2 linked regions of the Canis lupus familiaris genome follow. The protein of the gene in region 2 interacts with the protein of the main gene of each other region in a pairwise test. Links are inferred from orthologs where the notes say so. Each region holds a gene or a part of one and is shown on either strand. Other genes may lie near its edges.

Region 1 (3,804 bases), on a different chromosome or scaffold from region 2:
AAAATAGAGCTACCCTCCGACCCCCACAATCTCCCTACCGGGGTATCTGCCCAAAGTAAGTGAAATTGGGATGCTGCAAAGATGTGAGCAGCCCCACGCTCACTGCCGCACGTGCAGCAAAGCACGGCCTCCGCGTCCACCAGGGCATGGGTGAAGAAAGATGATGATGAGTGGAGTACTGTCTGTCCCCGAGAAAGAAGAAACCCTGGAGCTGCGACAAGCTGGAGACACACAGAGTGTTGGCAGTGATGGGCGCCGCAGGGCGGTACTGACGTGGGGGACGAGGCAGGGAAGCAGACCCACCAGCAGGGCTTCAGCAGTCTCACGGCTGGGGAATGCTAGACGAGCAGCGTTCCCTTTCCCTATTACAGCCTTCTCCTCTCATTTCTTTGATTCCTCAGTAACCTTATAAGTCTAGGGCCCACTTTCTAGCTTTCTCTTGTCTTTGCATGAGACAGAATGACAGGGCGCCAGGGCCTGGCGCGGGGGATTATCTGGAGTACACCTTAATTCCTGTCTAGCGGTATTTATCTCGTTACTCATCTGCTTTTCCTATCAAGTTCTGAATTAGATGCTAAGTTCCCTTTTCTTTCTCTATCACGGTATTTGTAGTGGTCACTTTCCTGAGGGAACACCTACTGGACGTGGAAAGACCTGCTTCAGAAAAGGTAGTCTGGATCCCATGAAGACTCACAAACGTTTCCCCCACCAGTTAGCTGAGATGTGGTCCGAGCTCCCAATCTAGGGAAGAGCCGCCAACAGGACATGGTGAGAAAGGAACCGTGTGTCAGATTCTACGTGGAGTCAGAGGCTCATGAGACGTCACCATCGAATAGTAAATCGAGTGAAAAGACTAACATATAAACGCTGTGCAGCATGATCTGAAAATCCTTAATTTGCTGTCGCGACTGCTGACACCAGGTTCCAGAGACTGAGCCCTGGCCATGAGGAGTCAGCAGGCCAACCTCAGGGGACGGCGCGTGCATGGATGTAGTCCCGTAAATCAGACACAGTAACTACACGTCTGAGGGTTCACAGACTCAGCGAAGTAATCCTGAGCGGTACTCAGTACGGGGGTCCTGGAGCTCACCGGGGAGAGGACTTCTAGTAAAAATATAAAACCCATCTAGAGCTGATCATTTCACATTTGAGCTTATTTCAGGTATAAACTTGGCATAACCACGTAGGTCTCTCTGAGGTGACTTGCATCGCAGACCATTTCACCACCATGACACTGGGTGGAACATGTTCATGGGTCACACTCTGAGAACAAACCGTACTTACCCACTGCTTCTTCTTGGTCTGAGAAATCAGTTGTTTGTGCTGTGTTGCTAGCTTCTTGATTTCTTCTACAAATTCTTCTTTACACTTCTCCTTTACTTGCTTACATTTCCTGTCCATCTCACCCTGCATATTGGCTACAGCTTTATTTACAGCTTGACGCTTCTCTTCCTCCATTTCGGAGCGCAGCTGGAATGAGAACATTAGCTCGTGACTGGCCCGCCCGCGATGCACACACCTCACTCCACAGTTCCTACGGAAAGGGGGGACCCCCTCCCTGTGTTTCATTGAGAGCAGTACACGTCTTAGGTGAAGGAAAACAAGGTTTACTAGCAATCAAACGTTATAAAAGGTATTATATGATGGTTCTAGTTTTAAAAAGGAGCTGCCTGGCTGATGCCCAAGAGAAGCTGCCTACGCACTACCGGAGCGCTCCCGTCACGCTCAGGGTTCTCCAGGTGGCCTTACCTTTTCCAGAGCTTCTCGCACAACTCTTTCCGTTTCTCGTTTGTGGTCAGACTTCATTCGGTCTTTAAAGTCATTGAAAATCTTGGTGTATTTGTCGTGGCACATGCTTTGACACACTCCGTCGCTGGTGGTCTGGGTGCTTCGATGCAGCATTCGTGGTGAAGAGGCACTTAACTTCTTGGTCTGAGTTGACACAGACACCTTTTCGATTGGCTGAGGCATGGTGGGGATCTCCTGGCTGGAACTCACGGCTTCCGTTTCCGGCTCTGGTTCCTGCAGAGCAAGGACAGTGCTGAGACGCGACACGAAGCCGCCTGTTAGTAGTCCTGGTTCCAGAACGAGCTCTAGGAGGATAAAACTAGGGTAATGAACTACTGTTAAAAAACATGTAATTGAGATGGTCAATTGTGTCATGTGTAGTTTACCACAACTAAACCAAAAACAAAAAAAAAGCCCCCAAAACTTCTCGCAATGAATAGCAAGAATTTAAAACAGGAACTTCATTTTGTGGCATATGAACACTACAGTCTTTGCTTTCCAGACAGACGAAAGAAAAATACCATATAAGACGTAAAACCCTTATCAATTTAGTCGCTGCTGTGGACCAGATTCATTAACAGATGTCCTGAGCATGGGTCACCAGATGAGTACCTGGTTTTAGAGCATGGACATACAACTTTGAGAGGCGGAGCGTAGCCACACTTTCCTCCAGTTTTTCAACGTTGACCTAACTGAAGGATCGGGTAAATGCTCCGCTTCTCATAATGCTGAGTAACTAGGAGAGCTCCAGGAAGTGCAGCAAAGCGCCCTCCCCGTGCGACGCAGACTCCAGGTTGGTGCGTGTTCTTCTGGCACTGCGGGCGGGCGGGCAGACGGTGGGGTTCCAGCTGGGCCGAGGGTATGGACGGCACCCCTGGGGCGGACCGTCGTGACCGCGACAGGGAGGCACTTCCTACAGCCGCCCACCTGGACACTGCAGGGCGGGCAACTTACTTCCTTTTTGGGTTCCACACTTTGATTACGTCGTCCTTTCTTTGCTCTTGGTTCTTGCGTGACCTTTAGCTGCGGGCATCACACAAGTAAGAGCGTGTTACTGCAGACACTACAGACAACAGTGAGCAACCTGTTCCCTCCTGTGCTCAGCTCCCCCAAATCCTTGCAGCCTCGGCCCTGGTGGGCTCGGGACCAGGCTGCGGGTGGCCCGTGGGTGGGTTTTGTACCAACGTTTGTAGAAGGGAAGGGCACGTCAACTGTGTGCACAGCCGCCTCTCACAGGGACACCCACCTGCTCATTACTGGTAGACGAGATGCTGGACTCCGCCTCCTCCTCTCCCCGGTCCTCGTTCTTGGACTTCCAGAACCTCCCTTCACGAAGGAAGCGCTGATGCAGCTCTAGCTCGTCACAAGCCTTCTTCCAGCCCATGCTGCGCTTCACGTGCAGCCGGTGAACGTTGACTGTGATGTCCTGTATGTTTTCAGAAGGGATCCATGCCCTTCAAGGAACACCAGAGGCACAGTTAGAAATTTCCGGAACGCTAGTAGACTCTATCCAGTACAAAGTAGGACCTGGGGCGATTCCTCGCCCCGAGGCTGTGGGGGACGGCTGCAACGCAGACGCTCACCGAGGAGAAAGCAGTGAGGACGGTCAGAACCGGAGCGGGAGAGACTGGCCAACGCACCGGCCCCACTGTGGGCTCTGGGCTCCGGGCAGCCCAGCCACAGCCCCCGCGGCTCCCGGCCCTCCTGCTGCAGAGGCACGCACACCTGGCTGGGGCGGAGGCCGGCAGAGCCGAGCGTACACACAGATCCGTACAAGCAGCAGGGCCCCGACACCGTGACCCACCACATAGCGGCTCCAGCACGTCGTTGTCTCCCAGGCACCCTGACTGACACAGAGGCGCCCGTCATCACGGCCAGGAACCCGCTGCGGGCAACACAGACCCCGAGGACTGGATGTGAACCCGTATGCAGCTCTACCGAGAAGGAGCCAAGGAGCCGACAAACTCCAGGAAACTTCCCCAGGCTAATGCCCCCCCACCGAGGGGCGCCCAGAGG
Region 2 (3,904 bases):
CATTAAAGCTCTTTTAAAAATACTAGAATGGTTCAAGAAATCTGTATGAATCATAGCTGTCATCAGGTACCCAAGTCTTACTTGATTTTTTTCTCATTTTAATCCTGATCATTACATAAAGCATTTGAAGAGGTACTTCTACAAAAGACTCACTCTTAAGTGAAATGCTATCATTTCTATATTGAACGAACCCAACACTTTACATTTTACTTTGCGTAAAATTAGTTAGCTTGGCCCTAATGCTTGGAGTAAGGAGAGACAGATTAGGAGGAAAAAATATTCATGAGGGCCCTTTTACATCCTGTGATGCATTATTGTCTTTGGCAGCACCCACATTTCTTTTGCCTGAAATCAAGAGTCAGAATTGCTCCTTAAGAAAATTGTTTAAACTCTATGGATATACTAAGGCCGTGTGAAAACCAACTCCCGTTCATCCTCACTGATGGCATAAAAACATAACGACTTTTGGGGGGATAATTTCTCAGAAACAAGGACAATCCATGTAACACCGTGTAAGACAAGTTAAAGCTTCCAGACAAAGACTGAGATGCAATGACCAACACCAACAAGTCTAAAGGCGCACTACCGTAGGGAAGGCGCGCGCGCGCGCACACACACACACACACACACACACACACACACACAGTCCAAACCCACGAATAGGCACTAGTCCTGGAGGGAAAGCTGCTGCTTCCTCCCTGTGAACTCTATTTCCCAATCCTGTGATTTTCCTCCCTTTTCTGTTATATTCTCAACCTCCAAGAGAACTGCTTTTTCAAGTTACATGCAATCCCCACCTAATCACATTACAAACTATCAGCCTTTTTTTTTTTACATCCCCCCCCCCCCGCCCCTTAAAGATGAGCTCCTTCTGTTTTCAGCTCGGGGTGGGGGGGGGGGTGACGACAGAACAGCGCTGTAGGATCCGCACTCTGCCCAGCTCTGCACCGCACTCCTCGACCCCCCCCCCCCCCCCCGCCCAGTCTCTCCCCGGAGCCGGTCACAGCTGGCCGCTCCGCTCAGCGCTATAACCTAAACTTAGGATATCCAACGGAGCCTTCTCTTCCAGTGGGGGTTCTGCTCTCTCCTTACTGTTACCTACAGCGGGGAGAGGTGGAGGGAGGTGCACGGAACAAAGAATTCCAAGTCCCTCTACCCACAACTTCAGGGTAAACCCCCAGGGGAAGGGCATCATCCGCCAGGGCTCCTCGCGCCCTCAGCCCCCGCGCCTTGTCCCCTCGCACCCCCTCCGCAGCCCTTCCTCCCTCGCTGAGACTGCGAGGCTGTTCCCGTTAGGCCCCGAGGCTCGGGCGAGTGCCCGGTGGGGCCTCCCTCGTCTCCCTCCTGCAAGGGGACGGGGACCGCTTCCATTCTCTTGAATGAACTTCGGAGTGCCAGTGTGCCTCTAAACGGAAGAGAGCTCGTCGGGACTCGACTCCGAGTCTTGCCCCCCAGGGGCGGGCACGGCCTGGCCCCGAGATGGGCGCCGAGCCTTCCGTCAAGTGGGGGGCAGCCCTCCCGCGGCGCGTTGCCCGGGGGCTCCGACGCCGACTGCGCTCGGCCCCGCAAGGGGGGCTCTGCTCGCCGCCCCGGGGGCAGCACCCACCAGCCGGCGCGCGCCCCCGCGGGGCGGGCCTCCCGACCTCCGCCAGGACCCTCCCCGCGCCCCGCGGCGCCCCCCCGCCCCGGCGGCCGCGTCTTCACTCCGCTCCAGTCCCAAGTTGCTCGGTGCTCCCGTAAGAACGGGGGCTGACATGACTCCTCCCAGAGCCCCCCGCCAGCTCCCTCCACGGCCGCAGACACCCCGAGGGCGCGAGGGAACCTCAGGGGCCGTCCCTCGGCGGCGACTCCCCGAGGCCGGCAGGCAGGCGGGGTCCCTCCCCCTCAGGCGCCCCGCGCCGCGTCCTCCTCGCCAGCCGCCGCCGCCGCCGCCGCCGCCGGCGCCCGGAGCCCCCGGGGTCCCTGCCCCGGAGCCGCCTTCCCCCGGCCGGCCCGCGCTGCCGGTTCCCCGCGCCCCCACCCCGCGCGGTCCCCCGGGCGTCCCGGCCCGCTCGTCCCGGAGCCCGCTCGCGCCGCTACCTGCAGGGGCCGCCGCGCCTCTCAGCGCCCCGCCGCCGCCATCTTGCATTTCAAACCGGCTGCACTTTTCAGGGAGTCAACTCTGACCTGTGAACCCTACACCCGGAACCGCTCGGCGGGCCGGCACACGGCCTCGGCAGCTCGGCGGGCCCCGCGGAGCGCGGAGGGTCGGGGGGTGGGGGTGCGAGGCGAGGCGCGCGCCCCAGCGGCCGACCGGGAGCGGGGAGGGAGGGAAGGAGCCGGCCGAGGCGGGGCCCTCCCGCGCGCACGCCGTCCCCGCGCGCCCCCACCCCGCTCCGCGCCGGGCTCTCGGCTCCCGGACCCCGCGGCTCCCCTGGGGTCCGACCCCTGCCTCTACCCTCAGGATTGGCGCACTGGGAGGTAGGGCGCCGCCCCGCCCCTCTGTCAACAGAAGCCCCGCCCCTTGCCCGCGGTGGCCCCGCCCCCTGTCAGCAGAAGGCCCGCCCACTCCGGATCATGGAGCGGCCCCGCCCCTTGCCCGCGGTGGCCCCGCCCCCTGTCAGCAGAAGGCCCGCCCACTCCGGATCGCGGAGCGGCCCCGCCCCCTGGTCGCGCTGGCCCCGCCCCCTGTCAGCAGAAGGCCCGCCCTCTCCGGATCGCGGAGCGGCCCCGCCCCTTGCGCTATCAACAGAAGCCTCGTCTTAACTCGGGTCGGTTCCCTCCTCCTGTCACTTGTGGGCCTGCCCTCTGGGCGCTCCGCCTTGCTACTGTCACCGCCGGACCTCAAGAAACGCCCGTTGTCAGCGTAAGCCCCGTCTCCCGGGGGCGTCCGCCCAAGCCCCGCCCCTTCATCGGAATCCCCGCCCACTGTCAAAAAGAAGCCCCGCCTGGCCGAGGCCCCACCTTCTGTCAACCTCCGCCCCGCCTCTTCTCGCCTGCGGGTCCCCGCTCCACCACAAACCGCAGCTCCACCCGCTGACACCGAAAGTTCAGTTCAGCCTCGCTTCCAACTGTCGTTGAAGACGGAGCCACCCTTTGCTCCCCTGGAACCCTCCTTTCCCCTCTTACGAGCCGCTCTGCTGAAAGGCTTCCTTTTCCAGCCGAGCTCTTCAAACCCGGACAGCTTCCATGGGCACTAGTCCTGCAGAGAGGGGGGCCAGCCAAGCACCCAGGCGTCACCGCCCCTCCTCACCACTCCTCCACCATCACTTTCAAAATTATGAAACGTGCAAACCAAAGGGATGAGAAATGTTTCACTCTCCAAGCCGCTCTGCACAGATTCATGAGCCTGGACGCTGGACCCTCTGTGCTTTGACAGCAATGCTTCCCTGAGCCACATTAATCCTAAAACGTGCAGTTGCTTAAAGTGAAAGCCTGATTGTTGAAATCAATGTACACCAGCTTCTTTATTTGTATGTTTCGTCTTAGAATCCTAGAACTTGGGGAAGCAGAAGCAAGCAAAGCTTGATGATCTTATAAGCAGAGTACTCAACCCTACCATACTCAACATCCCCGTATTTACAACATAAATGTAACACCACTTCACTCTCCTAGAGCTAAATTCACAGATAATGTAAACTACACAAATAAATTCAATAAACCAGTGTAATGTTATAAAGGTGGAAAAAGAGAAAGTTCGAAAATACTATACTAATATCAAGGAAAACAATAAAATATGTTTTGCACTGTGTAAACACTCTGGCCCCAATACGAGAACTACTGAACAAAAACTGCCCCCATAAAATTTCAGGACCCCCCCTAGGGGGCAGTACCGTGCCCTTAGGACTTCTTTCTGTGGAAAGGAAATGCTTCAGTTACAGAAATGCATTCTTTTGTTCATACATTTAACAGCTAGGTTTTTGAG

The links.
Region 1: the proteins of ZHX1 (region 2) and ZMYND11 interact in a two-hybrid assay, tested with the Homo sapiens proteins (2 studies listed by BioGRID and IntAct). The link is inferred for Canis lupus familiaris from reciprocal best matches to the Homo sapiens genes ZHX1 and ZMYND11.

The regions. Positions count from the first base shown.
Region 1 is NC_049223.1:33,552,409-33,556,212, forward strand, and holds part of ZMYND11 (zinc finger MYND domain-containing protein 11), read right to left. Parts: intron 3,243-3,804; coding exon 3,035-3,242; intron 2,812-3,034; coding exon 2,743-2,811; intron 2,023-2,742; coding exon 1,750-2,022; intron 1,471-1,749; coding exon 1,285-1,470; intron 1-1,284. UniProt on the Homo sapiens protein: Chromatin reader that specifically recognizes and binds histone H3.3 trimethylated at 'Lys-36' (H3.3K36me3) and regulates RNA polymerase II elongation. Does not bind other histone H3 subtypes (H3.1 or H3.2).
Region 2 is NC_049234.1:22,064,284-22,068,187, forward strand, and holds the start of ZHX1 (zinc fingers and homeoboxes protein 1), read right to left. Parts: upstream 2,251-3,904; 5' UTR 2,080-2,250; intron 1-2,079. UniProt on the Homo sapiens protein: Acts as a transcriptional repressor. Increases DNMT3B-mediated repressive transcriptional activity when DNMT3B is tethered to DNA. May link molecule between DNMT3B and other co-repressor proteins.